Linked DNA regions of Tamandua tetradactyla. The protein of the gene in region 1 binds, or shares a complex with, the protein of each later gene. Links are inferred from orthologs where the notes say so. Each region holds a gene or a part of one and is shown in the gene's direction. Other genes may lie near its edges.

Evidence for each region.
Region 2: the proteins of CAPZA2 (region 1) and S100B are in contact, whole or in part, in a crystal structure (PDB 3RM1), measured with the Bos taurus proteins. The link is inferred for Tamandua tetradactyla from reciprocal best matches to the Homo sapiens genes CAPZA2 and S100B. Residues at the interface, in NP_001013016.1 of Bos taurus: Thr267, Lys268, Ile269, Trp271, Ile274, Leu275; in NP_001029727.1 of Bos taurus: Ile37, His43, Phe44, Leu45, Glu46, Ile48, Lys56, Val57, Thr60, Phe77, Met80, Ile81, Ala84, Cys85, Phe88.

The regions. Positions count from the first base shown.
Region 1 is NC_135327.1:156,400,355-156,415,626, forward strand, and holds the start of CAPZA2 (F-actin-capping protein subunit alpha-2), read left to right. Parts: upstream 1-7,197; 5' UTR 7,198-7,318; coding exon 7,319-7,357; intron 7,358-15,272. UniProt on the Homo sapiens protein: F-actin-capping proteins bind in a Ca(2+)-independent manner to the fast growing ends of actin filaments (barbed end) thereby blocking the exchange of subunits at these ends.
Region 2 is NC_135336.1:109,044,177-109,059,203, reverse strand, and holds S100B (protein S100-B), read left to right. Parts: upstream 1-7,301; 5' UTR 7,302-7,510; intron 7,511-11,973; 5' UTR 11,974-11,974; coding exon 11,975-12,112; intron 12,113-14,561; coding exon 14,562-14,702; 3' UTR 14,703-14,865; downstream 14,866-15,027. UniProt on the Homo sapiens protein: Small zinc- and- and calcium-binding protein that is highly expressed in astrocytes and constitutes one of the most abundant soluble proteins in brain.

The DNA.
Region 1 (15,272 bases):
GCTTCTGACACCAACTATAATGGTATCAGCAATTTATCAACTGCAAAGGGCTGCCAAGCACTCAGTCAATTCAATTCTGAATTCCAGAATTCCAGATTCCCAGATTCCATAGGTTAAAAGCAGTTGTCTGCCCTCCAGGTATCAGTCACAAATGAGGAGACGCAGGCCACTGGCACCTCTGACCAACTGGCTAAAAACTTAGAGATTCCCTCTCACCCCCTCAGTGATAATTTGCCAGAAGAATTCACAGAACTTGCTGAAAGTGCTACACTTATGGGGTTATAGTTTTATTATAGTAAACGGCTACAAATAAAAAGAAGCCAAAAGAAAAGATGTACAATTGGGTGTGTCACATCTCTGTGGGGATAATCTAATCAAAATATTCCAACCTACAGTATTGAATCCAGATTAAAAGAAACTGTTCCTCCCACAAGTTTGGATCAGGATTAAAACATGGTTTTCTCGGGCTTTTCAAACCAGCATAGAGTGACTAGAGGGAAGTACCTGAAACTATTGAACTGTGTTCCAGTAGCCTTGATTCTTGAAGAAGACTGTATAACTATATAGCTTTTATAATGTGACTGTGACTGACGTTCCTTCTATCTATGGTATGGACAGATGAGTAAAAAAAAAAGGATAAAGAAATGATAGGGGGAGATAAAGGCCAAAAATTGGGTGGATTGAAATACTGTGGGTCAATGAGAGGGAGGGGTAAGGAGTATGGAATGTATGAGTTCTTTTTATTTCTTTTTCTGGAGTGATGCAAATGTTCTAAAAATGATCATGGTGAAGAATACACAACTATGTGATGATCCTGCAAGCCATTGATTGTATAATATGGTTGGACTGTATGTGTGTGGCTATTTCTCAATAAAATAAAACACATCAAAAAAGAAAAAAAAGAAAAGATACGGCAAGGTTTGGGAGGATCTCAGGCACACGCTTCTGTGTCCTCTCCCGTGGAATCAAAACTCTGGAACAGAGATATGTTTTCTCAGTCATGGCAGCTCTTCAGATATCCGATATCCCGAGTTTCTGTGGACTCTTACTACGTAGGCAAGATTAATATAATCAATGTCCACTTGGTTGAACAAATCTGCAGCCTCCCTCCCCTTCCAGAAGTTGGGGAGGTGGTCTGATATAAAAAGCCTCAATCCCCTAATGCACTGTTGGTCTTTCTGGTGGGGCCAAAACCACCCTAAGACTGCAGCTGTGTCTGGCCTCACCCTATCGTCTGGTTAGCATGAGCTATCAGGTGTGGTCCTAGACCCACCAAGAAGAACAAAAGACACTCCTATCACAGGAAATTCCAAAGATGCAGAGGTTGCTTCCCTGGGAACTGAAGACAAAGAACAGCCAAGCTTTTCATTATACTGCAAAGCCACATATATAATTATAAATTTTCCAGTAGCCACATCAAAAATGTAAGAAGAGACAGGTGAAAATACTTTTAATATAGTTTTATTAATTCAATATTTCATATATTATAATTTCAACATATAATCAATATAAAATATTATCGATAGCTTTTAAATTCTTTTTTCTTAGTAAGTCCTCAAAATATAGTGTGTGTGTATTTTACACTTAGGCATATTCTCAATTTGGAGTAGCCATGTTTCAAGTGTTCAATATCTAGTCTTACTATATCGTAGCAGCATAGCTGTAAGCTAGGTACTTACAATGTCCTTTTGTAACCCTAACTTTAATACCTAATTCTATCATATCCAGTCATATCTGAAAGGCCAGCAGGACAGGTTTCAGGAATCTCTTTTCTTGAGGAACCAATTCTATATGATTTCAATCCAACAAATATAAACATAGTACATGATGGTCCTTATTCTTAATGACGAAACATAACTATCAATATAATATAGTCTCTAACCCAAAGAGCTTGTAAGAAATACAGTTATGATAGTGTTCATGGGAAAAAACACATATCAAAACAAGAATCAATATATGCAAACTTTTGTGAGAACAGTGGCTAATCATCGTTATTGGTTTCCTATTGCTGATGCAATAAATTGCCACAAATCTAGTGGCTTTAAATGACACAAATTTATCATCTTACGGTTCTGGAGTTCAGAAATCCAAAATGGGTTTCACTAAGCTAAAATCAAAGTATCAGCAAAGCTATTTCCCTTCCATTTTCTTGCCTTCTCTGGTTTTTAGGGACCATCCACATTCCTTGCCCCATTTTTAAAGCCAACAATGGCCAGTTGATTTTTTCTCACATCACATCATGTTCCAACCCAGCTCCTGGGTCAGGGCAGCCCAAAGACCAAAGGATACATCAGGCATGGAGTTAGACATGAATTTTATTAGGACTTACGAACAGGAGAGGATCTTCCACAGTGGTGGCTGGCCGTGGAAAATGAAGGTTAGTGCTCTGCAAAAGGTGGGAGTGCCAAAACACTGCTTATAAGGGTTCAGGACAAAGAAATTTCATACGGTATGACACAGTTTCAACAGGGTCACGTGACACAGGGGCTTGGAGTTTTGTTATCAGTAGTCATCAGGGGAGGGGAGTTTCAATGCCTTGTTTACCACACTATCTGTACATTCTTTCCCCTGAGGATGTCTGATGACCTTTAATGTCTGTCCCAGCCATGTAGGCCACTATGTGTAATGACCTGCTCTCAATATGTAGGGGAATCCCTAGCCCTCGATCCCCACACATCACTCTGACATTGACTCTTCTGCCTTCCTCTTCCACATTTAAGGACCTTGTAATCACATTGGCTCACCCACCTAATTTAAAATAATTTCCCTATTTAAATGTCAGTTCACCAGCAACCTTAATTCCATCTGCTATCTTAATTCCCCTTCGCCATGATTCTGACATATTCCCAGGTTCCAGGAATTAGGACATGGACATCTTTGGGAGGCCATTATTCTGTTGACCATAACCTTGAAAGGAAGGAAAAATTCTGACTCCAGAGTAATACCCATTATACCCAACCCCAACCCACGTCTACGGAAAGAAGCTATGGTCAAGATCAAGTCTCTATAAGAAAATGAGAATATAAGGCATTTTCTACTCCCACTTAGTTTCCATTTCCCCTTCTTTTAGCCACACACCCCAATTTTCCTTCCAAAAAGAGCCCTGAAAGAGGCATAAGAGAGAATCATGCATAAGTAGCTGTTCTAGTATACAAGCTGCCAGAATGTGATACACCAGAAAAAGAATGGCTTTTAAAAAGGGGAATACATTAAGTTGCAAGTTTACATTTCTAAGGCTGTGAAAATTCCAAATTAAAGCAAGTCTATAGAAATGTCCAATCCAAGGCATCCAGGGAAAGATACCATGGTTTAAGAGGGCTGATGATGTTTAGGGTTTCTCTCTCAACTGGAAAGGCATATGGCGAAAATGGCAACATCTTCTAACTTTCCCTCCAGGCTTCTTGTTTCATGAAGCTCGCCCAGGGGCATTTTCCTTCTCCCTCTCCAAAGGTCTCTGGCTGTTTGGACCCTCAAGCTTTTTCCAAAATGGTTCTCCCTTAAAGGGCTCCAGTAAGCAACCTCACCTTGAATGGGCGGAGACACATCTCCATGGAAACCATCTAATCAAAAGTTACCACCCACAATTGTGTGGGTCACATCTCCATGGATAATCAAAAAAGCTCCCACCCAGCAATACTGAATAAGGATCAAAAGGACATGGCTTTTTTGGGGTACACAACAGATTCAAACCAGCACAGTAGCTTTGTGTGTTCCACTGGCATGTGCATATGAGACAGTGGCCAAGGTTTGTTTTCAAGGTTGGTAGGAACAAACTATAAAGGAAATATATTCAGGTGAAGGAGATGCTTCAGTAATTCTTGGTAGCTCTAGAGTAATTCATGTCATAACTTCTCCAGGGGTGGCACTTAGCAGGGACCTTTTCAAAACTAACTGAGGAAATGGACAAAAGTAAGACACACTTACTCAAATATAAGGAACCAATAGTTCAAGCAATTATTTTATTTAGAAAGACAATTGTTTTTCAAATATGCATGATTTTTTCACACCTCTCCACTGCTATAAAAGACATTATTTGACATAATAATGTCATGTCAACGTGAGCATGATAGTAACAAACAACCAGATATCAGTTGTCTAACACCAGTAATTTTTTTCAGAAGTCAAAATTTTAAACTGAAGGTATTAGTTTTCCAGTGCAGATATTGAACTAAATAGTGTCTTACAGATGTTTGTATCTTGTGTAACCATTTAATGGTCAGTCAACATTACCTATTGGGTACCTATCATCTTATATATTACATTATTATTTGTATTACATGTTTCCATTATATGATGAAAAAGAAACATGAGTCTTACCGTCAGGACACTAGGGTTCAAAATAATATCCACTAGACGTGTGATTTTGGTCAAGATATTTAATTTATCTGAGGCTCAATTTGCTGGCCTAAAGATAAGAGGGTGGTACTAGATGAACCCAAAGAATGTGATTCTAGGAAATTAGGTAACCTCTGACCTTGGAGAGCTTTAAACCTACTTGAGGACATAGAGCACATCCATAGGAAAAGAGATCAAAACAGTTACAAGTAAGTTAAAAATAATCACTGCCAAAGGAAGAACTTAAAAAAAAAATCAGATTCTGGTGCTGTTAATTGGGAAGACTAAGATCACTTTGTTAATCAATAAAAGAAAGGTGAGTTTCGAAAATTAAATGAGAAAAAGGTAGGTAACGCTCACTCAGTATGTAAAATTGAGCATGGGAAGAATATTTGTTTCTTTTTTCATCACCAAAAAGTGCTAATTTTCAAAAATGCCAGTGCAATTTCTTTTCAAAGTCTTATAAAGGTCATTCTATATTTATGCCCACTAAATGTAACTGCCTGAAATCTTTCCAGGATTCCTGAGTTACTTGAATTCTATAATTCCTCTTGAACTCTATCAAGAGGGTGACATCGAGAGGTTACTGAAAAGATGATTAGAAATCATACATACTTGCTGGCTGTGTCACCATGGGGAACCATGTAAAGTATCACCAAGGTTACCACTATAAACATGACTCAAATTATTGAGAAACACTACCAGATTTGGGTGAGGTTTTTAAAGGAAGAGAATGGCCAATTAATGAAGCAACAATGTTTACTGAGTATACATTTGTACAGATTATTGATATAAGGGGTTGCTAAGTAAACAGAAAAAAACCTGAAATTAAAAAAAAAAACAAAAAAACCCAGAAGTACTGTTGAAGTAGAAGGTGGCAGATGAATAGAACTGATAATGTGATAGAATAATCTAATTGGGGAAGAGTGCCCAGATTTTAAAGAGGGAGAAAGAAAATTCTTGCAGTGGAAATAAAATGAAAGATAGAATAAGATGCCTGGATTCTATCCCAGTTCTGCCACTTGGAGCTGTGCAACCTTGGACAAATCGTCTAGCCTCAGTTTTCTGCAAAACGGGTATTAATGCTGAATAATCAATGAAAATAAAACACTTTTAATGCTGAATAATCAATGAAAACAATGCCTTGCAAACTGTAAAACAGTAAACGTCATTTATTTACATCCAGTGATGTCCCTGGCCAAACTGCATGGCTTATGCTCTTTCACTTCTCTCTACCTTTTAGCCTCAACAGGATGCCTGCTTTTTTTTCCTGCAGATGTCAGCATTTTTTCTTTTCCTGTTCTTTGCCCAGACTGTAAACCTCTCAATATTATGGCCCCTGTTTGCTTTGCATTTACAAGTAATATTCATACTATGAACACTCCGTAAATTACTTAATAGTAGCGTCTTGTATCTGTACAGTTATTTGAACTCTTTAACGTATTCTCATGCAGCTGTCAGATTCATCTTGCTAGGCTATTTCTGATCAAGTCATACCAGTTCACAAAAGTTACCAACAGCTTTTCATTTTCTACTGAATAAAGTTCTAACTTCCATCTAAATTCTAAGGCCTTGCTACTTAAGGTGTGGTCCATGGAGAAGCAACATTGACATCAGCTAGAAGCTTGTTAAAAATGCAAAATCTCGAGTTCAAACACAAAGAATCAGCAACTGCATTTCAAGATTCCCATTTGATTAAGAGGCACTGGAGATGGGCAAACAAGATCCTTAACCCTTTAGCAAGAGCCTCCTTTCCTGCCTTATTTGTTTCAACTTTGATTAAATATACTGAACTTTCAGTTACCTAGAGTTACTTACTAGCTCCCCTACATACTCTAGGATTCCCCTATTTCTTTGTCTTTGCTTATTGTCTCTTGTATTTTGAATCCCTTTTCCCTACAGCACAAGTCTTAATTTTCTCCAGCCTTTAAGGTATAGCTGTTAGCAAAATTATCGTGTCCATGATATAGTCCCTAATCTTGCCCTCTACCAGAAGTGATTTATTCTGAATCTTCCATAGAATTTTATTGGTAGCATTTTGTACTGCTATTATTTGAGTCCACCTTCACTCTCTTGCTAAACTTGAAGCCTCAGGAGCAGAGTTGCCAGATTAAGCCAATAAAATTAAGGATGCACAGTAAAAATTGAATTTCAGAAAAACAATAAATAACTTTTTAGTGTATGTCCCCAATGCTTCATGGGCTATACTTTAAAAATGTTGTTTATCTGAAATTCAAATTTATTGGGTGTCCTGTATTTAATTTGGCAGCCTATTCAGGAGTGTAGGACTCACCTCTAACATAATTTTGTATTCCCTGAGACTACAGTCAGTGCCTTCCCAAATGCTCAGTGTATGTTTGCTTAATGAATAGAAACATTGCAATTCCTTGAGAATAGGGCTTTCTATGGTTTTGTTTAACATTTTATATGCCTAGAGACCAACACAGTACCTGGCACACAATAAAGGAACAATAAATATTTGTTGAATGAATGAAAAAAATAAATGTATTATGAGCAACCTTCCAGTTATGGACCGGGTTGTGCCTATTATTAAAGCTAAATAATCATTAAAAAAAAATAATGCTTAAAAAGTTTCTTTCGTACGCTTTTTCACATTTTGGCTGGCAGAGTTCAGCACTTGAGGGGAACATAATCAAGGGCTCAGAATGTACTCGTTGCAGGATGGGCCCATATGGTCACTGGTGAGGAAAGAAGCCTGCACTCACGAGGCTGACAAGCTTGCAGCAGGCGGCGGTAGGCGTCTCCTTCCCCCTCCCTAGCCTACGAGGCGCCCGCGCATGCGCGACGCTGCGCTCCTTCCCCGCGGGCCGGGTTGAGGGAGGCTGGGCTCCGCGGCGCGTGCGCGGCGGCCTAGGCGCCGGGCTCCTCCCTAGGCGGGGGCGCGCGGCGCGGAGGACTGCACCGAAAGGGGGAAGTCAGGTGGCTGCTGCCGCCGCTACCGCGGTTTGTCGCCAGAAGGAAGATGGCGGATCTGGAGGAGCAGTTGTCTGATGAGGAGAAGGTAGGAGCCGCGGGGGCGACGGAAGCCATCCGTCCAGGAGCCAGCAGAGGCCGGGCCTGTCAGTCCGGAGTCTGGTGGCTGGGCAAGGGCATTGGCCATCGGTCTGTGCCCTCCGTGCCCTTCCTCTCCTCTTTCCTCCCTGCGCTCCTGTGCCTGCCCCTGTCAGTCACTGGAGGCCCCGCGCGGGAGACAGACCTTTGCCTGGCCTGATCGTTCCGCTCCTTCTAGGGTGTGCGCTCCGAAAATAGGAAGCAGGATCCGGGCGGTGGCGGCGGCGCTGGGAGCTGCGGGCGGGTGCGCGGGCGGAGGGCGGCGCCGCCGGGGCTGTGGACCCGGGTGGGAGTCGCGGGGCCCTGGCCTGTGTGGGGACTGCATAGGGGTCTGCGTTCAGACCCAGGAGCGGCCCAAGAGCAGTTCCCAGCCCTACAGCCGGGCCTTACAGAGTAGCGAGGGGTGAAGGCTAAATGGAAAAAAAGTCTCCTACGAAGCAAACCTCCTTTCTCCCTGCTGCCCAAAGCAAATGCTTCCTTTCTGGGCCCTCTGCTATTTTTTTTTTTTTTTTCCTTCCCATTCCCTGTGGAGGTTTATTGTTGGTGTTTTTGTTGTTGTTTGTCTTTTCTTTTCTCTCTCTCTTTTTTTCTTTTCTGCTTTAGCTGTAGCCTTTGCAGCTCCCGTGTTCCCTGGGAGGCAGCGGAGTTGCTCCTAAAAAGATTTCGACACCCCCACCCCCATAGTTGGTTCCTGGCCAGGTTGACGAGAGCCCTCCTAGGGACTGATCTGGTGGCACCCCGTCTTCCTGCTGGTACTTATTCCGAAAGGGAAAGATTCTACTGTGTATGAAATGTGTGACAAATGCAACCAGATGAGCGACTAAGTTCTCAGGCAGACATTTATAATAAGAAATCTGATCATTGAACTAGTTCTCTCATTCACTCTTTGCTTTGGCTACTGTGAGGCCCATTCTCCCAAGTGGGGATGGGGGTGGGAGGGGACTCTAAATTTTGAGTATTGAGAGAATCTTGACGTTTCTCATACCCAGTAGTAGCTGACATAACAGATCAATAAAGTAGTTAGAATTTTCGAAATGTCCGCTTTTATCAATGCTTCATTTTTAAGTTTCGAGGCAGTTAACAGCCATGCAGTTGCATTGTGGTATTTAAGAAATCCTAAAGTAGGGCTAAGGATATTTTCATTTGGAACTCTGCTCCATATGTTTTTATATCTTTGTATCCTTGTGTCGAAATGTAATGTTCTGTCTCCCTTCCGGTGTGAACATGCAGAAGTCTGCCTCATCTTCATTTTTGGAAATCTTTGTTTCTCTGTGCTCTGTGGTGGAAATGATGATCAAACCCAACAAAATGGAGAGACAACAATTCTCCATAATCCTTCATCACTTTGTAGGCAGATCTCTATCCACAGAAGTTGCTGTGCAGGATTCACATTTGTGTCATTGATAAATAGTCATAAGTTGGTAATTGAAAATACACTTATATGCATGTTTCAAGTCATGTAGTGCTAAAATGCTTTTTTTTTTTTTTAAAAGATTGTCACGTTTTTATTTTACTGTTCTTAAGTGGTGCTCAGTAGCTCAAGTGGCTAGAAATCTAGCTGAGGAGAAAGTACTTGGTGTGGGAGTTAATACAGAGCCATGTGTTGCATAGAACTAAACTGCTGAAGTTTTTTGAAAATGAAATGATGAGATTCTTTTATTATCTGACACTTTTAGGGCACTAAGCTCTGTAAAGAGTGGGGTCTTACTCTCTAATCTTACCTAGCACAATATTTTATGAGTAGATGTGTGAAAATTCCAATTTGAAGGAATTTTGTGTTTTTGTTTTTTGTTTTTGAGTTTTGGAAGAATGTTCTGTAGGTATTTCACATATGAATTTTATTATTTTATTTACTAACTTAAGAAAAACACTGTCCAAATTTTTGGGCTAAATTTAAGTAACTGATTGAATGAAAATTTCATTCTTGTTACTTTAAGTTACCTAAATGTCTTTTTATCGGGGAGGAGGTTATGGGTCATAAATGGAGAGGATTTAAAAGTAGTATTTTTGAACTAACCGTTAAATCATGTTACCCTTTCTGCCATCTTGTTTATAATTTTTCATAAATAAAATTTTAATACTTTCAAGCTTTTGGAATTCCCATTATCAATTGCATATATAAGGAAGGGAAGCTAAAATTTATGTAGTGCTGTACAGTAAGCCTGGTTCAGTTAGGCAATACATATATTACTTAATTTGTTGTAATTTTGAGGTAGGTATTATAACTGTTCCATAGATAAGTAAAGTGAAATTTCAAAAGCTTTAATTCTACCCAAAGACGCATAGATAGGAAGTGGCAGAAGTGATGTTTTTAAACCCAAATTTATCTGAGTACGAAGTTTGAGTTTAAGTACTCTCTCCTTAAATGGCATTATGCTGCCTCAAACAGTTGATTATAGGGCCTTCTTTTGGGTTTGTCTCTTGTTTTTAATTTGTTGGCAACATACTTCAAGAAAGGAAAAACAATGATTCTTTTTTGGTTTTAGTAAAAATTTTAAACACTAAAATTAAAGTGTTGCATTCTAAACTTAATTTGTGTTATTATCACTTTAGGGCAAAGTTTATTATTAGCGTATTTTAAAGTTTTATGCTATGTCTTATGGCAGAAAGCATTTTAGAAACTAATCTAGAATAATATCTTTACTTTTTTTCACTCATGCATGTTTGCTTTTCAGTTATACCACAGTGAAATGCAATGTAATCTTTTCATCTTTGATCACTGGATTAATAGGAAATAAGTCTGTGCTGAAGAAGCACAGAGAAGTTCTTTAACATTATTCATTCGCAGTAGCATGTCCCACGGACTTTTTAACATAGTTATAGAAACTTTCGGCCAGAAACAGTTCAAGTTTTCCATTCCTGGTCTAGTTATATTGTACAGAAAAGCATTTTACTAGATTTGAAATTCATAAAATAAAGACCATTACCAGACCTCTCTCTACATGAGAAGATTCAGGAAGTCACTACAAACTCTAAAATGAAGACAGTCATTGGTTGGAAAAGATGTTTTTTTTTTCCTGAAACACCTCCCATGTTCCTCCAGTGACTTGAGTGATGTTCATGTGGCTAGAACATACCTTAAACTTTGTGGAAGTTTCTCAAGTCCATGACTTTAGCTTTAACTTCTCTCTTGAGCACTGGTCACTGAAGACTGTTAATGAGATATGCTTAGGTAGAACCAACTCCTCCACCTTCCCCACCTACAAAAGGGGATAGAAATCTCTCTCTTGCTCATTTTCCTCTTAATTTCTCTATTCCCATTAGCCCTGTTGCTCAGGTTTTTAACTTCAGCTTTACTTTTTTACCCTGTGCCCTGTACTTTACAGTCAGTTTCTAAATTTTGTCACTTCTATCATCAAAATGTCTCTTATACAAGTAATTTATTTCTTGCTTGAAAAGTGAATTCATTTATATTAATATTTGGTTTATTACCTCTAAGTTAACCAGATAATTTTTATTATTTGGTAATCAGTATTTTAGTGTACAAATGGAATGCCAATTGATTGTACTTATTCTGGGATAGCACAGATAAGGAAGAAATAAATTCAAGAGAAGAAAATAAGGTTAAAAAAATGAAGTTCTAGGCTAAATCTTCAAATTTCCTTATCTAAGCCATGCTTTCATTAGCCATTTCTCTGCTCTCAAAACTTTTAGTGGCTGAATCCTCTCCTGCCTTTACAGGGAAACCCAACTCTTGAAAGTGATATTTATGTCTTTGTATTCCATTCTAATCTAGGTAGATTTGTCATTTTAGATGCATACTGTTATTTAATCATGCTGTGAATTCAAAGAGACCTGCATTATAGTGCGTTTCTAGCACTTTGGACAAGTTAATCTCAGCCTCAGTTTCCTCTGAAATGTGTGAATATAATAAGTACCTTTTCCTGTAAGTGGCTCTGAAAATAGATGGTGGTTATTTTTCTCTGCTTCTGACTTTTCATCCACTTTGAGCATTGGTTCTGCTCCTTAGTCTGTCCCTCTTTTTTCAAAGATGAAAATCTTACTCATCTCTCAAGATTTAGCTCAAGTCACACATGGCTAGTTCAGTCTCTCTTCTGAACTCCTATGACACATCATTAGTATTAAATACCAGTCTTGTATGATAGTTGTTTACCTGTTTAGCAAGTACTATCACACCCCCTAATTGTAGGAATAACGTATTCATCATTTTCCTACATGTCATAAGTAGAATGGGTCAGTGAGTAAATAAACAAAAAAATCATAAATTCACAGAATTAAGAGAAACCACAATGGTTTTATGAAAAATACTAGTAGCATATAATGCATGGTAAGTTTTTAAGATAAATTCCAGCAGTCCTAAATTTTTCATTTCTAAATTAAATGTTTCATTTGGTGCTATAGATTTTTAAAATTTAGATAATCAAGTTAAATTCCTGGCATTCTTTGAGGTACAAGAGGTGATATTGGCTAGTGTTGAAATCACTACATAAGCTTAATATTCTTTATAAGCAATTTATATACTTACCCCTCACTATATATGGATAACTGACTTCAGGAATTCTGTTTGTATATAAAAACCTTGTAAGCCACCATTGTAGTCCATCATAATTAATGTAAAATGAGTTTTACATTAAGCTAATAATGAGGAAAATATTCCTAACTTCATTCTGTAGATGAATGAATTCTGTTGTTGTACCAATAAAATGTAAACATTCCTACAGCAAACAGGAACTTGATAGCAGCTGTAACATTGGTGGAATTTTTCAAACTGCACATTATAGCAAATTTGTAGTACCTCTTCAGTGAATTTGGAAACTATTTTTACATAAAATAAGGGTAGTCATATAAATAGAACATTACATTTCAGTGCAAGAACATAGTATGTAGAAACAGAATACAAACTGATTTTTAACTTTGAAAAGCATGATGGGAAAACTTGACCTACAGGTTTTGTGTTTATGACCTAAAATCCGTATCACCTGAAGCAGTCATTTATTGCAAGAAATTTATTTATGTCAAAGAAAATAGGGTCTTGGTCTTCTTAAGACCTCTTTTAACACATTCCATAACTTCCTGTGGCCATTGTCAAAAAATGAGAATTTCACAAATTTTATTTTGAAGTTTAGACCTACAGTCTTTATATATTCTTTCTCTTATGTTGTTTTTTTATATGTTCTATTGTGAATCAAATGGCTGAGAGTTTTTCTTGCACATTTAATTCACGTTGTTTCTTTTGAAAATGAATGAAAATAACTTTTGAAAACCATTTCCTCCACATTCATTCATTCACCACATATACCATATTTCACTGATTCCAGTGCTTATAATTTTCCGTATTGTAAGATCTCTGAATTCAAGATACATTGTACAATCAATGCCTTGTGATACTTAATTGGTAGCATTTTTCCTTAGTGATACACATAATGATGTACCTTGTGTTGTTTGTGAATCAGGATAAGCAAGGATATAATGTATTAACAAAAAAATGTAAAATGTTAGTGGTTAACTCATGTTTCATTAATAGTACAAGGAGATAGTAGGGTGAGGGCTTTGTACTCCATCTCCTCACCCAGTCTCTTCTAGTGTGGCTAAGTAGGAGGGTCATGTTTGGTGCAGTCACAGAGTTCCAAGCTGTTGGAGGGCTTCAGTATAAATTTAAGCTTCCTTCCACAGTCACCACAATCGTCAGGAGGAAATGCAGTGAAGAGCACACTGTTTTGTTTTTTAATTTAATTTTAAGCTGTTTATTAAGTACAATATACTTTCAGGAAAGTACATAAGTCTTAATTGCTCATCTTGATGACTCTCCAAACTGAATGCAATCAGGTAGCCAGTACCCAGATCAAGAAGCAGATTATCATCTCCACCAGCACCACAGACTGCCCTCTAGTTTCCTTCCAGTCACTATCACCCTCCCTCCACCTCAAGCGGAAACATTATCTGGACTTCTACAATGTAGATTTCATTTTGCCAGTTTTTGTTATTTATGTAAATGGAGTCAAGCTATGTTTTAGGTTGAGCCATATGAAAATGTTGATAGTTGACTGTTGACTTCCGCAAATGCAGTTTTGTTTGATTCAACCCCATAAGTTTCCCCCTCACTTAATTTATGTTTGTGAGATTCATTCATATTGTTGTGTATAGATGTAGATCACAACACAGTTTTTCAAGCTCTCCTTCCCCTTTTCCCCAGAGACTAGCATCACCACTGCTCAGATTTCAATTAGCTAAAAGCAAATTACATATATAAACCTAATTTCAAAGGGGTCAGTAAACAAAAAGAGATTTGAAGTATTTGTGAATAGCAGTAATGACACCACAAATTAAGTTTTAGATACACTGACAAATGGTGTTTTGCTCACTCATTTGGTAGACAAAATGCAGAGTTATAGATATAAAGGTGAATTATATGACTTACGTATTATGACATACATACTATACAGGATCAAAAAATGATATGGTCTGGAAATTTGGGAAAAAATTATTTTTGCTCATGGGTACGGAAGTCATTATTTAGGGATCCAGGTTCGTGCCAGGAAACACAACATAGGATTTAAAAACAGGAAAGTAGAAACTAGCAGGGAGTGTGAGTTACATGTAAAGTAAATTCATTTAACCACTTGATAATCAGTTATATCTCAGACACTTTGCAAGTAAAAGGTGGAAAGATAGATTGTGCTGTTAAACTGCTCACTGTCTAGAGCAGGGTTTTTCAGCATTTTTTTGACGTTTTGGGCCTGTTCATTGTAGAATGTTTAGCTACATCCTTGCCCCACTAGATACCAGTAGCAACCCCCATCTCCATCATGACAGTGGTCTCCCCGGGACAAAATTGTTCCCGCTTGAGAACCATGGGTCTTAGATTGATTGGAGCTAAGGAGAATAGTTGGGAACCTAAATTAAGAGTTAAGACCTGATTTAAAGTAATTTTACAAGGAATACAGCAAAAAAGATTGCTAACTGATTTCAGAATTGGAATTAACAGACTGCTGAGTGGATGCGGGGAAGGAAAAAGGAAAGAATCAGATAGTTTTGAATGTTAAAATCCAAATTACTAGAAAGAGGTACTGTCATTAATAGAACAAAGGTGGAAGGAATAATGAGGAATTTAGTTTTTTGTTGTTGTTTGCTTACAGAAAAATCATGCATAAAATATTGTTCCTGTATTTGTTAAAGTTTATAAAAGACCATTGCTATAATGTACTGTTAACTGTAGTCTGTTGTTTACTATAGGTTTTACTGTTTGTGTTGTACAGTCCTGTGGAATTTTAGTGTAGTTTTTTATTTGTTTTAAGAGCAGTTGTATATGTACAGAAAAAATCATGTAGAAAGTATGGAGTTCCTACACATCTCCACTCACACACAGTTTTCCCTTTTTTTTTAAAACATTTTGTATTAGTGAGGTTCTTTTGTTACAATTGAAAATACGCTATTATAGTATTATGCTCTTAACTTTATCCCACTGTTTACAATAGGTTCACTGTTTGTATTGTACAATTCTGTTAGTATTGTGTGTGTGTGTGTAACATGTACAACCTAAAGTGTCCTATTTTACCCCTTTTCAAATATACAGTTCAGTAGTGTTAATTACATTCAGAGTTGCACCTCTATCACCATTATTCATTGTCAAAAGTTTTCCGTCACTCCAAATAGAAATTCTAGTTAAACATTAACTTCTTATTCCCCTCCACCACCTAACCCATAGTCACCTGTATTCTAGTTCTGACTTTATGAATTTGCATATTCTGCTTATTCCATATGTGAGATCAGACTGTATTTGTCCTTTTGTGTCTGTCTTACTTCACTCAATATGGTAACTTCAAAGGTTCTTCCATGTTGTATAGAACTTTGTTCCTTTTTATGGTCAAATAATATTCCATTGCATGTATGTACCTCATTCTGTT
Region 2 (15,027 bases), on another chromosome or scaffold:
TGGTGATATATTTATGTGATGGAACATAGCTACAAAGAGGAGGGACATCGAGGGGCACCCAGTGAACTGAATAAACCTTGGCAACAAGGTGTTGTGCAAAATAAGCCAGAAACAAAAGAACACATATGCTAAGATTTCTTTCAGAAAATACTCATAAGAAAACTGGAGCCTAGATTGTAAACTCTTATAGCAGTCACACTTAGTCTGAAGTTTTAAGTGTATTTCTAGATTCTGAGACACTGAGCTATATGTGTATCAGCTGGCATTGCCCTGTGACACCTAGGACTCAGAATGGAGAGCTACAGACCTGAAAGTTAGCATAGCGATATATAATAAGAGTTAAAATAACCAAAAAAGAGATCAGGCCTCAATTAGAGAGAAACACAAAGCCAATCTGGCTGGGTCTAAGGTAAATCAGAACACAGGGTAAAGATGACAGTGTGCGCACTCTAGACCTCCAGCTACTGTACGGCACCAAAGGCAGAGAGGTTTATTATGCATTGAACCTAAATTTTCTGTAACACACAATTTAAATCAACCTGCCTGGAGAGCTCATTTACACAACCCAAACTCCTGGAATCCAGAATGGGAACGAGGTCTTGTAATTCTGTGTAGCTTAATGTAATACCGGTATGCATCTCAGACTATGGTGGGCTGATAGTTAAAAATTATTAGTATTATATAGGAAAGACCCTTGGGGGTCCAAAGGAAAAAAATATGAACTATTAAACTTTCCCATTAGGGAGGCCCTGGGTACCTTCTCAACCACTAGGGACTCCCAAGAACATAGGTTAAGTCCTTAATTTTGAGGCTTGTCCTCATGAAACTTATTTCTGTAGGGGGAATCTAAGACTACCTCTAACAAGGCCTAAGAGTTGCTTCCAGGAAGCCTCTTTTGTTGCTCAGATGTGGGTGCTCTCTCTCTAAGCCCAACTCTGCAACTAAAATCGTTGCCCTCCCTGCTACATGGTATAAACCATTCAGGGGTGAAAATCTCCCTGACAATGTGGGGCATACTCCTGGGGATAAGTCTGGTCCTGGCACTGTGAGATCAAGAATGCCTTACTGACCAAAAGGGGGAAAAGAAGTGAAATGAAATAAGGCATCAGTGGCCTAGAGGGATCAAATGGAGCCAAGAGGCTATTCTGGAGAATACTCTTAGACAAGCTTCAGTTAGATAGTGCTGATTGCCATGGTTTGCTAAAAACCCCAACCAAAATCCCTTCTGTTGACTCTCAAGAACAGCTAGGGCTCAAACTGAGACTCTATCATGGTTCCATGCACTACATTTGCTTTCCTGAAACCTGTAATTCCCAGAGGGTTCCTAGGTCAGATAAATCCTGAAACTCAGAGGGACCAAGATTATCAAGTAATTATGTTCCCCTATCCTTTAGTGTTGACATCCCTTCTCAACACGAGAAAATCAGAACGGGCATTGTCCGAAGATCTGTATAGACTAGGAGAAAGATAAAAGGAGAAGGAGGTATAACAGAGAAAATGGGGTTTATTGACTATGGTTGCTGAGTCACTATGCTAATATTCCTTCTAGTCTCCAGCGTTTGGGAGCAGCTAGAAGGAAAAATCTGAGATGGTGGAATGGGAACCCGCAGCCAGGTGCCCTGGCCCCAGGCCTCCTGCTGGCTGTTGGCAGTATTTCTCAGAACAGGAAAGACAAATAATTGTCATCACATCAGCTACAACAGAAGCTGTTTGTCCCTCTCCGCGGCTGTGATGAATGCCACCCACGTCCTGCAGCACACAAGCCTCCTTCTCTCCCCACGACGTCGGCCGCTGTAACCGAGCCTTGTGAGCAGGTAGTGCTGGGTGCCCCAGGAGAGCAACGCCAGTGTGCACGGCCTTTCCTTTCCTCAAACCAGAATAACCTCTTCCTGCCCCGTCAGCAGACTTGGTTAGGCCTGGAGCTAGTCACCTAGTTAACTGGTGCTAAGGATTTGCCGGATGGGTGAGTGGTGGACTAAAGAGAGGACTTGCTGAGTGACAAGTGCATCTGTGAAGAGGTGCCTATTAACCCGCCGGCACTTCCAATCCCAGCTTCCTGGAAAGGGAAGCCCTTGCCTCATCTTGACAAATGCTGGGATCCCCACTCTTGGGGAACCTGAATGCTGCATCATCCCCCATCCCTCTTCCATTCAGGGAATGCTCATCGTTAGCTGGAGATCATGCAGGGAGCACACAGCATGGCTGGGACTTCCTAACCTCTGTGCCAATGTCACCCCATATTTTGCAGGTTGAAATGCTGGGCATTTCTCCACAATGCAACAGCCATGAGCCAGGTGGAGGCTCTTGGCTGTGGAGACAGCAAAGCCCCGGAGCTCTTTTGGGGTGTCCTTTCCAGGTGCCATGCCCAGCAGGTCCTTGTTTCCAAACCTCAGGAACCACCTGGCGTGCCTAGTTGGCACACTGCCTCTCTAAGTGTCACTGGCTGCTCGTTCTTATGCACAGCATGTTCATATGGACCATGTCTTGTTACATCAGTTTGGGCATTTTCCATAATCAGAAGTAATTACTGATTCAGGTATTGGTGCGATTGTTTCTCTCTGTATTGTCATTTCTCTAAGTTTATTATTTACAGATAGTATCTCTTTTACATAAAATTTTATTGAAATAATTTTAGTCCAGCAAAGAGTTACAAAAATTTACTAAACCTTTTTATTTTTTGTTTTACCTAGTACATCAGTCTGGGTGCAGTCAGGACATCGTAATTTAAACAGGAGAAGGTTAAAAATAAGGAATTATAAAACTACGCTTTAACAGCAACCACAAAGAAGTAAAGAGAAACCTAAAGGGTGCCTGAGGGCTGAGGGAGAGGGCCAACGCTGGACAGCCAGTGGGCAAGCGGGACGGATGCTGTTGGGATGTGGTCCACGACACACAAAACTGTCCCTGCATGCCACCCAGGCCACGTGTTGGGGCTGTATTCACAGTGAGCAACCATAACCAATGAGGACCTACAGTGGGCTTCACTCTGGATGCAGGGAATTCCCTGAAATCGGTGCTCCTGTGCTGGAAAGCAGCCACTGTACTGGGCACAGGGCACCTGACCATGCACTCGGGGGCAAAGGACAACCTGCAGGAACATGAAGTGATGGCTACCACTTTTCAGTAATAAAACCCTCTGCGTCCAATTCACGAGTCTCATGTCTATGGCTGACATCATAACTGCTACCCTGTCAGCATGCAGGGAGGGTAAAATTTCAGACCCTTTGCTCCAGAGGCTCCACAGCTGGTCCCAGGGCACACAGCGGGAGTCGGGGTCACACTGAAGGTGTGTGCATGAGCAATGCAGGTACCACACCAGGTTGCTGTGGGAAAAGCCTTCCCACACATGCAAGTCAAGGTTGGGTGGATGTGCAAAAGGAGTTGGGGAGTTGATGAATGTGCAAATTTTGGAGCACACAGTGTCCACATCAGGGGAGGCAGACCAAGGTGGTCATCAGGCCAAGGTCAGTCTGTCAGGCCACCAAGTGCTGCCCTCTCTGGGCATGGGGCTGGGGCAGAGCACTGGCTGCACCCAGACAAGGCACTGCTGAAGAGCTGCGAGGCAGACAAAGCAAAACACACTACCCCAGAACCCCAAGTCCTCTTCCTCCCGCAATGTTCTTCCAACACCCTCTACCAGCAAAGCTTAACATCATGCTCGTTGTTTCAGCTTGTTGAAGCTGATGAAATGCAATATATTAAAAAATGGACTGGCTTTTAACAATGGGGATTTATTACCTGAGAAATTACAATTCTAAGGCCCTAAAAATATCCGAACAAAGGCAACAACAGGACGAAGATGGGCTGCTGACGATACACAGGGCATCTGTAGGTCCTTCTCTCCCAGGTTGGTGGCTCCCAGGCCCTGGCTGCACTGGCCTCCTCTCAGTCACCCATCTCCGGGTGTGCCCTTGACTCGCAGCCTCTCTGGGGCTTTAACTGTGAGCATCTCTTAATTTTACTTCTCAGCTTCAATAAAGGATTAAGAAGCACCTTGTATGGGTGGCTCATATCTCAATTGAAACAACCTAACAAAAAGCCCAGCTATACCAGGCCTGCCCCACCCGGAATGGAGTGAAAGAACATGGTCCAAGGGGGGCCTGCAGTCTGGGCCGCGGTCATGATGGACACAAGGTGGCCACGACAACCACAGATCTCAGCCTCTTACAGAGGGGGCCCTGTCACAATAAAGAGTACAGCAATGGACGAGGGAAGGGCACACTGTGGCGTAGACATACAATGGGTGACAAGAAGGACTGAGGTCAGGAGACAGGCAGCTAGGTAACGGAGCCTTGAGGAATTATGTGGAGTGAAATAAGTAAAAAATGAGGGGACAAATGCTGTCAGTCCTCACAAACATGGGCTAACTATAATGAGGAAACTCTGAAAATTGAATTCGACAGCACAGATTATCAAGGGAAGAACGAGGACAGAGATTGGGCAATCGACGATTAAGGAGTACAGAATGTTCAGGAAGGCTTACTACAGATGTCCCTACATTTCAGTCAGCCAACCAAAGGAACTGCTAGAGTCTGCTCCGGCTGCACGAGCTAGCACATCTAATCTGGAATCTCTAGCAAGTGTTCCCATGTCAATGAATTTAGTCCTAGACAGTGATATAGTCCACCCTCCTTAGCATAGTAGCACTCGGAACTCAGTCCTATACATGTTCCCCAATTATTCTGGTGTGTAAGTGGTTGCTTCCTGGATCACAGTATGTACTGCTCCTGGAACATGGTAAGATTCACCCTAGCAATGGCTCTAGGGATAGCAGGTGGTGGCTGTTCTCTTGAAGTGTGTGAGTAACCCCTTTCCAGGCACCCCAGGCGAGGTCATCACGGGGATGTCAGGCAGAGAAAGGCTGGTCTACTCAGACACCAGAGGGAAACCTACTTCCAATGGTAAGGGAGTCTCAGGATGACTTTGGGGAGGTCAAGATTTTCAGTTTCATCTAAGTACAAGATGCGCCCATCCCAAGTGTCAAAATCCTATTCTTTCCCAATCAATGCCCTCATTTTCACATGAGAAAATGTAATTTAGCAACTCATATAACTATATGTTTTATTTATTTATTTTTCATGGGCAGGCACCGGGAATCAAACCCAGGTCTCCGGCATGGCAGGCGAGAACTCTGCCACTGAGCCACCGTGGCCCACCTGTAATTAGATTTTTTCTCTCTCTCTCTCTTTTTTTTGTTGCTGTTGTTTTTTTTCTTCTATTTTATAATTAGATTTTCTGTTTGGTTTTTCAGCAGTATCAGCCCTGCGTAGGGATGGCATGGTGCTTCCTGGTTCCGAGACTGCATCTTGAGCTTGTCATGTTCCCTCTGCAAGCACCCAAGTGCCCTGAAAAACTCCATTCCATACCACAGTCCTTTACTTCCATAATGGCCAAGGAGAGCAGCACCTGGGCTCCCCTGGCATGTGCTTCCATCGGTACCTCACCAGGACCCACAAGGCACAACTCAGTGAGTTGTCTGTCAGCACCATGGTGTGCTGGCATCCAGGTGTCTGTTAGCAAGAAGCCAACCATTCCCTAAATTTCGTGATTTTGGACTATCTCCTGAGACCACTTTAAGATCAATTCTGTGTCAGTTCCAGTTCAGACAGGAGACAGAAACTACACAGGATTTACATAGGGCAGGGTAAATAAAAAGAATTATTAAACTATGATAGGAGAGTGACTATAAATATGTGAAGAGAATTCTAAAGGGGGACCTAGGGCTGAAGGCGAGCACTCAGGGAGGGGTAAACCTGGAAGAGCATCTCCTCCCTCCCCAAGCTTGGATTCAGACCTTGATGGGGAAGGTGTAACTCCAGCCCCCCAGATGGGCAGAGAATTTTCCTGTGCCAGAGCTGGTCTAGTCGCTGGTGAGCAGGAAAACTCTCTGGCCTTCAGGTGAACTGAGGCTGGTAGACAGGTTTGCAGAGGGAGCTGTGGCATATCTACAGGCATGATGTCGGGAGCAAGTGGTGTCCACATCAGGGAGTCTCTGATGCTCAGGTGAGTCAAGGTTGGTCGGCAGGTGTGTGTGTGTATGTGGCGGGGGCTGGCGATGCCCCATGGATGTGAGCTGTTCACAGCGTTGCCGTAGGAAAGCCACAGGGCGGTGGCCACCAGGCCTAGGGCTGGGGTAGAGCAGACCAGATGACCTCACACATCAGCATGATGGGCCAACATGGAGCAGGCCAGGGACAGAAGCAGAAGTACAACAGCCCAGCCCAGGGGGAGAAGCAGAGGATGGCATCCCATCCCCAGTCATGTCCTGCCAGCAGCCACTGGCAGGTAGAAATGCTGGCAGGGTCCTCCCGGCACCACAGCAGGCACTGAAGGGCAAGTGTGGAACAGAGAGGCACACCTGCCCTTGTTGTTTAGCTCCACACACTTACTGAGCTGAAAGTGAGGGACAAAGGGAAATTTACACCAGATAAGCAAAGCCAAGGCTGGCCTCCTCACCAGGATAGGTCTGCCTTAGCCTCAGATCAAGCCGGGGATGCTGGCTCCCTTGTTTCTCTGTTAAGGAAGGGAAGACCTATGGGCTGGCTGGTGGTGAACAGGGAGGTCTCGCTGGTTACAAAGGCTATGCTCAGACCGACAAATAACTTCTGAAGCATCAATTCTAAAATACTTTGCTGATCTGCACATTTTCCATTACCATTTCTGTGCATCTTTGGGATGTCTCATCAGATCAAAGCCTCCTCTTGGAGGCTCAGGTCGGTGCAGCTGGAAATAGGCGTGAGCTGAAGGGAGACAGGGGGCTTGGCCTTCACTTTCCCTGGGCCTCGTCTTCAAAACAGAGTATTTGGACAGGGCATTTCCCAGGCACCACCCAACTCTGGCAAGCTGTGACCTTTCACCCCAGGGTAAAGGGAGCGACCTTGGGGTGCAACTGATGTGTCTTCAACTATATAAAACAAGGGTTTTCCTTAAAACTATCGAGTGTCTGTTATACCACACAGCCAGGGCAGCTGCCCCTTCCAGAACCAAGTTCCACGGGGCCTTGCAGGCAAGCGGAAGCCAGGCAAGCTGGCCTGGGAAGCTGGCGGAGATGACAGGAACTCAGTGGTCCTCACCATTGGAAACTAGCCCATGAACCACTTTATCTCCTGCACACGGCCCGTGCTTGGAAGCTTCTTGCACTTGGCTGTACATTTGCTTTGTCTGAATCCATTAATCCAGCTCTCTCTCCACTCCCCACCCTGGCTTTAGAGGAACATCGATATTCATGTAATAAATAAAAAGCACGAACGCTGACTCCCCACTTCCTGCCCCCAGGTCTTTTCCTGCTTTGCCCGGGTTCAGGGCATGCGCTTGGTCCACGCAGCCCAGTGTGCACTGGTCAGCTCCCCGCCCCCGCCCTGCCTGTGGCCCCATTGGCTGCCGCTGCCTGCAGTGGGACTGCAAGGGGGCCGCAGCTCTTCAGCCTGGGAGAAGGAAGGAGAGAGGGAGGCTCCCGTCCCCAGCGCGCCTGTCGCTCAGAACACCCGCAGCCCGACGACAGCAGCAGGAGGTGAGAACAGGAGTAGGCAGCCCCAGAGGAGATGGGAGCAGGGGTGCGAGCTGGGAGCAGGGGGCTGGGTGGTGGCTAGGAGGCCCCTTAGGATAACCGGCAGAGCTGTAAACGTGTCACTGGCCCTCCAGGTTTTAATCTGAACTCTGCAGTCGAGCTTATTACTGCTTTGTGGACATCTGATGACATCCACGCTAGACTGCAGGAGGGCTTGCTGCCTGTGCTCTAAGACTGCAAATCAGAGAAATCTCCAGTTTAATGACTCTAAGTGACTGGTGATATCTTCCCAGAGGAACTACAAATGCTGCTGCTTCTTTAACTCTTCGAGGTGCAGGGCTTTTCTTCCCTCTGGGACTGAGAAGCACGGAGCCTCGCACCATAATCGATTCATCTCCCGCCTCCTGGTCACTACTTTCAGAGCCTGGGGTAGGAAGTTGCTTCTTGGTTTTCTGGTTTCCATCCATTTGAAATGCCAGAAACTACATGACAACGGAGAAACACTTTGCAAATAAATTATGAACAGGATCAAAGAAAGGAGGGTCTATGGTGGGGTTTCACTCTGTGCAGTGTTGCAATTCCTCCAGGAGGAGAGCTGCTCCTGAAGACCCCCACACCAGACGGACTATATAACTGTGCCTCTCAGAACAGCTGAACTCCAAAACTTCTCTTTTCTAATATGAAAAGATTAATGCAGAACATTCATAAAATGGAGTGAGAAGGAAACATAGATACATAATTTCAATTCCTCTTAAAATCATCATTTGTCCCCCACTATGCGGGTTTTTAATGACATGAGAAAAGGCTTAAATTTGAAACAAAACAAAAAAACCTAGCAGGTTATACAAATCTATACTTAGCATAATCTCTGCTATGTAAAAACAACAATGCATAAGAAGACTAGAAATAATTATCAAGTATTTTCATGGTGAGGTTATATGGGTGGTAAGCTTATGGGTTGTTTCTTCTCTATTGCACTTTACTTCTGTATCTTCTGCAAAGCATGTGTTTCTTTGATGATGAGAAAAACATAAACAGGAAAAAGAGAAATAACTTACCAAGTGTCCTGCTTTTTCGCTTTGAGCTTATGTCTTGATGGCTGAAATTACCACACTCTCCAAATCCAGCCCAGTTTTGTAATATGTATCAGGAAGGGTTTATCTATTTCCTCTGCCTGGCGAGGCAGTCTACAGTGGAACTGCACTGATGTCATTCTCTTCTGCTCTTCTGTCTCATCCAGATGCTCTCAAACATGCTCCCACCTCAGATTTATGTCTCAAAAACGAAGAAGTTAAAGCTCTTCTTGATATACCGAACTGCTTTGCTTCTCTTAAGTCTGTTTCTTTTTCATTCCTGATGATTCTCCCCAAAAAGGACCCACAGATGGAAGTATCCACAAGGAAATCTGTTCCCTGGTACTCCTGAGCACTAATCCCCTTAAGAAATAATTTTTTTCCTAAAGTTTTTGAATACTGGGATGTCTCTGAAGACACTCTAAGGAAACTCTCACCAAGATGATGACTAGATGACTTCAGAGGCTACAGCATAACTGGAGAAAGTCCAGAAACCGTACTGATTGGCTTTGTTACAAATTCATACTCTCTAACCTCAACTGGATTTTCACGGCTACTGAGTAATCCTTTTAGCTGTCTCCTCTTAACTTTATATGCATTCCTTACAGCAGCTGCTCCAGTCATTTTCCATTCTCAAATTTCCAAACCGACCCTATGCCCCAATCACCAACTCGTAGCAGCTAACTTCTTTCTTCTCTCATTTTACTGAGAAGATCAAAGCCATCCAATTCTTCAGTCTTTCAATTTCCTTTCTCTATATCTTAATATTTCTCTGCATCTTTACTTTTACTCACCTCTTACCCATTTCAGAGAAAGAAATCTTTACCACCTCTGATTAATCGCTCCATGTGTGCTCACGAGTCCATGCTGTCTCAGTTTCTCTGGGATCTTGCTCTACCTATTATCTGTATTTCACTTACATTTTATTGAGAAATACCCACATACAGTCCAACCATATTACACAATCAGGCTCACTGTGTCACCACACAGTTGTGTGTTCTTCACCATGATCACTTTTAGTACATTTGCATCACTACAGAAGAAGATATTAGAAGAAAAAACTCATACATTCCATACCCCTTACCCCTCCCTCTCATTGACCAGTAGTATTTCAATCTGTGCAATTTTTCACCCTTTATTCCCCCCTTGTATTTATCCTTAATTTTTTATTCATCTGTCCATACCCTGGATAAAAGGAGCATAAGACACAAGGTTTTCACAATTACATGGTCACATTGTAAAAGATGCATTGTTATACAATTGTCTTTAAGAATCAAGCTACTGGAACACAGAGCAACAGTTTCAAGTACTTCCCTCCAGCCACTCCAATACACCATAAACTAAAAAGGGGTATCTATATAATAGGGAAGAATAACCTCTCAACTCTGTTTGAGATCTCTCAGCCACTGAAACTTTATTTTGTTTTATTTCTCTCTTCCCCCTTTGGTCCAGAAAACTTCCTCAATCCCACGATGCCGGGTCCTGGCTCATCTCTCGGAACACCGTTTCCTTTTCAAAAATCTCACTATTCATACTTTACAGAAAAATTACTTATCCCCTTCTCCAAATCATCATGGATTCTAAAAACATTAGGATAATGAAAATGTGGGTTTTTTGTTTTCTTTAAAAAGATCAGTTATTGAAAACCTGGGTCTTATAAAGAATAGTTAAGTACAAAATGTTAAATATTTTTAATGCATCTGAATTATTCTTTCTATATATTTCTGATTTTAGCAATTTAAAAGAACAAAACACAGCACAGTGGTTCTCAATAGTGACTTTGACAGGAAAGCCACAATCAAATAAGCTCACCGCTGCTTCCTCTGGGTTGCTTTCTCCTCGGGAGGCCACCCCGTGCCTGTGCAATGCTCCATCAGTGGAAGCTGCGAGAGCTGATGAGAAAGCTGCACAGCAACTAGGGGCAAAATGAGGACACAAAGACCAACAGCATTCCTAGATCAGATTCCTGATCTTTCCACAGAAAGATAAGACCAAGACAGAATAACTGTAGTCCTCTTTCCTCCGAGGGATGAGAATTCAATAAAAATTTAAACCTTTCATTGCAATGTTTCTAAGAAGTGATGTATTCAACACAGTGATGTACTCAAATCACAAGTGATTTTCTAATGAGATTTTATGTCATTTTAATTATGACTACAAAACATTCTTACTTGATTTGATAGAATGCACGCTCAAAAGTTGTTAAATTTCTCTGCCTGAGTCGAAAAAGTTTTGGGAGACAATTGACACGCCTTCCTTTGTAAAATGTGCCACGCTCCCAGAATTGCACAGATATTCCCTGTGTTAGCAGGCCATGGTGGAAGGTACATGGTGTTAGCAAGGTAGGAAGTTTCTGACTTTGACATCTTCAGAGAAACACTTAGCCCAACACTTGTCCAGCCCATTCGTGAATAATCTGCCGTCCCCTCCACTTGAAAGGGCCCCGCATGCATGCAAGACACTGGGCTGGGCCTCAGCCTCCTGCTGCACTCTCTGCTCCTGCATCAGGCCCACTCAGGTTGGCCATGCTATCTTACAAAGGTATTTTCATTTCTAGTAGGTCGAAGTGCCCCTTATTATTCTTTTGCAAAAATCTCGAGGCATTTCCACCCAGTTTATTTTTACAGATGAGTTTTACAGCTGGTTTTGGTCCTATTCATTGTCCATTGAAAACATCCCATTGAAATTTTTATTTAAGATGATTTAAATTTATATATTAACTCAGGGGAAAGAAGGAGCCTACATTTTATGTCCCTTAGACTCCTATGGAAGGATGCATATTTTTCTTGCTAAATTTATTCTGAGATTATACATGTGTGCACTGTTAGATGAATAGGCTTCTACGACTTTATTTTTCAATTGTCTGATGGCAGAATATAGGAAGCTACTGACTTTTGTGTCCTCATCTTGCCCCTAGCTGCCGTGCAGCTTTCTTACAGCTCTCACGGCTTGCGCTGATGTCCTGCTCACCTGCACGCTAACCCTCAGTCTTGGAGCCTGCAAGGTGTGGCCCCCAGGCAGGAAGCTGGAATCAGTCCTCAACCTTTCTCGCGGCTCTGCCTCTGAATTCCTGCTTTAGTCCCCCAATGCCCCACCCAGAGCTGAAGTCTGAGTGCCCAGGAACCTACGGAGGTGGCCTATAAGGGCAGAACAGGAAGGGGAGGGGAGGCAGGTGAAGAGACAGAGGGGGAACCGCAGCCCCTGCAAATTCCTAGATGTCCTCCGGGGCCGCACCCACCAGCTGCGGCGACCCCCTACCCGTTAGCTGTGGCGACCCAAAGATGGGAACCGAGATCTTCATGTGGGGGGGCTGTGTGGGCAGTACATGAAATGTTTTGTGTGCAGACAAGGCAAAAAGTGTGAAGACAGCACTTTTCCTTTGTGGGCCCCTAGGATGTCTGAGCTGGAGAAGGCCGTGGTGACCCTCATTGATGTTTTCCATCAACATTCTGGAAGAGAGGGCGACAAGCACAAGCTGAAGAAGTCCGAACTCAAGGAGCTCATCAACAACGAGCTTTCCCATTTTTTAGAGGTGGGTCTAGCTTTTAAAAATCAATAGTCTACCCATGCTTTTCCTACTTATAAATCCACCTCGTAGACTTTCTCATCTGAGCTTCCCTGAAGGTGATCTCAGTTCCCTCCAAAAACTTGTTTATGAAAATGTGCCCTCGTCATGGTGGTAGCCTGGAGCAGCACCACTGTTTTTGCTTTGCTGTCCTCTGTCCTGTACACAGTAGGTGCATCAAGGAAAAATCGCGGTCTCAAAGGCAAAAAGATAGGCCTCAACTAATGCTGATCTTTTTCTGAAAACCTAAGGTTAGACTGATGATGGTAGAATGGGATGGAAAATATAACTTATAAGCCACAGCGAACATGAGAAAACTATTAAAAATAAGCTTTTGTTTATGGGAAAAGGACATATTTTGGCTTCTGCTGCATGTTCAACAGACACCATGGTGATAAAAGATAGAAACATTTGCTTGGCAAATGTTTATAGAGCACTGATTGTGTCCAATACCACCAGGACAGAGACCCCACTGACCAGCCTCTGCCTTTGGGCACATCAATGAATGGCAGCGACATACTTGACTGAGGACATCAGAGGCCCGGGTGCCCCACGTGAGCTCCGGAGCCTTTCAGGAGGCTTCACCGAAGAAGGGACTTTGGGTTTTGTCCCTTAACTTGGGAAGCTGATGGAGCATTCCCACGGAGACCTGCCCTGCCCCTAGGTACTTTGCATTCTGGTGTGCAGTGAAATTGTGTCCACACACCTACTCTGCTACTCTGAGGGACTCACTCCCCTACACAGATGGTCTCTGCTGCCGCCAGTCGGCTACCACTCCTTCACCCCCACACCAGCGTCTGCTGCTCTCCAGCCTCACACCCTTGCCATGAACTGTAACCTACCTGGGAATTGATATTCCCTTAGTGCTCCAAACCAAGGCTGATCCATAACATGCTTTGAGCCAGACTGAAGTACTTGCAGTATAGACAGGTGAGACATGTTTCCTGCCAGTGAGAGATTTCCTGGGTCCGTGAAGAGACTCAATAGACACAGAAGAAATGTCAGGCAATGGGTCAGTATGCAAGGGTCTGACCAAGTACAAATCGGCAGAAGACAGCAGGGGGGCTACCCAGTAACGGGAGACATCCTCAAGCTACCCGATTCAGGGCTCTCTGCAGGACAACAAGCCCTAGGTACCAGCAGCAAGGTCGACGTGCCATTTGGGGGGCTGGCTGGGGTTCGACTGTCCCTGTCCCCTCCTAAACACGAGGGAACAGGCTTGCTGGGGGCACCCCAAGTCTCAGTTTCTGGAACTGGTTTCCTCAGGTATTGAAGTTCAGAGTATGGCAGCTGCCCTACAATGCATAATGAGTCTTTTAGCAATTTAAAAGCTCCAATCTCTTCTGCAAATATGGTTATCGTGAAGATGAAATGAGACGGTGTTTGTCACATGCTTGACATATACTAAAAGCTCAACAGGTAGTCGGTACTACTATAATTATTGATTTAAAATGTACAATAGTTCAGTATCCTGAAAGCATAATTTATAAAAGAGAAATAACTCATGGTAAAGCATCAAGAACACTTGCTGGCCTGGTTTTATCGAGGTAATTTCAGTTTGGAGGCAAATCAATAACATAATTTAAATTAATGCACTTCTCCCATCCATTTTTTAGCAGATGCTCACAGGTCCCACCCAACTCCCCAGGAAAGTTTGTGTGCCACCACAACACAGTACACTTGACTTCTTCAGGCCTACTCCTTCTGTCAGAGGGATTTTCTGTTTTGAACAATTTTGCATTTATGCTCTTCTTCAGTGCCCAATGCCCACAATTCTTCCCGCATCTCACTTGTCATCCAGCACCTGAGACCTTGTTTATCACTTAAAAACATACTGTTCACTGGGTGTTGGGCAGAACTGTCAGGGAAAAGTCTCATGATACCAAAAAAGCCACCCAAGTAGGAAAAGAACACAGAGAGTTACATTTGGGCCATGTCCCCAACAGTTATTTCAGCAACAAAGAAAACTTTCATCATTCAAACCTACCGGAAGCACTGTAGGGTCTCTACGTACAGAAATGTATGAACAACTTAGGAGAGACAAAAGTCCAAGATGTGTGCATGTAATATCTCGGGCTGATGTACTTTGTACTCCTTTGTCCAGGTGTTTCGTTTTAAGTGTAGTGATAACATCCTGCAGTTTTTTCAGAACTTGGTTGTTGCATTTATTCTCTTCAAGTGGCCTGGGTCCACCTGGGCCTAAAAGTCAAAGCAGAAGAGAGCAGCCCAGAGCCTGAGTGCTTCTGCCTGCCCCTCAAGTGCCTTGGTCACAGAAGAAATCTTTTCTGGTATTTTGTATTTTATATTTTAGGCTATTTCCGATAATCATTATTAGAGTCACCCTATGTTTAATCGTGTTTTGAAAGCCCTAAATTCCATTTACAAACAAGTCGAATATTTGTCTTCTCTCTCTTAGGAAATCAAAGAGCAGGAGGTTGTGGATAAAGTCATGGAAACTCTGGACAATGATGGAGACGGTGAATGTGACTTCCAGGAATTTATGGCCTTTATTGCCATGGTTACCACTGCCTGCCACGAATTCTTTGAGCATGAGTGAAACCGACAAAGCAGCAAAGCTGTTCCTGTAACAGACATGAAGGCCACACCAGGAAGCAGAGCTCACAGGCTTGCAGGCTAGTAGGAGCTGAGCTTTTCAGCTGTGCTGTAGCTAATTAGGATGCTTCATTTGCTTTGTGAACAAAACAATGAAAACTTCTTTGTGAGGGCTGTTTTACTGGCGCACATCATTTCTGCTATTTTGTTAGGCATATGCATAAGCTGGTCCCAAGAACTTTTAGAAATAATCACTGGGAAAGTCAATGCCGGGCTACAAAGCATGTTCTGTACAACCTGTGTGGCTGTCAGAATCCTAACCCTGAAAC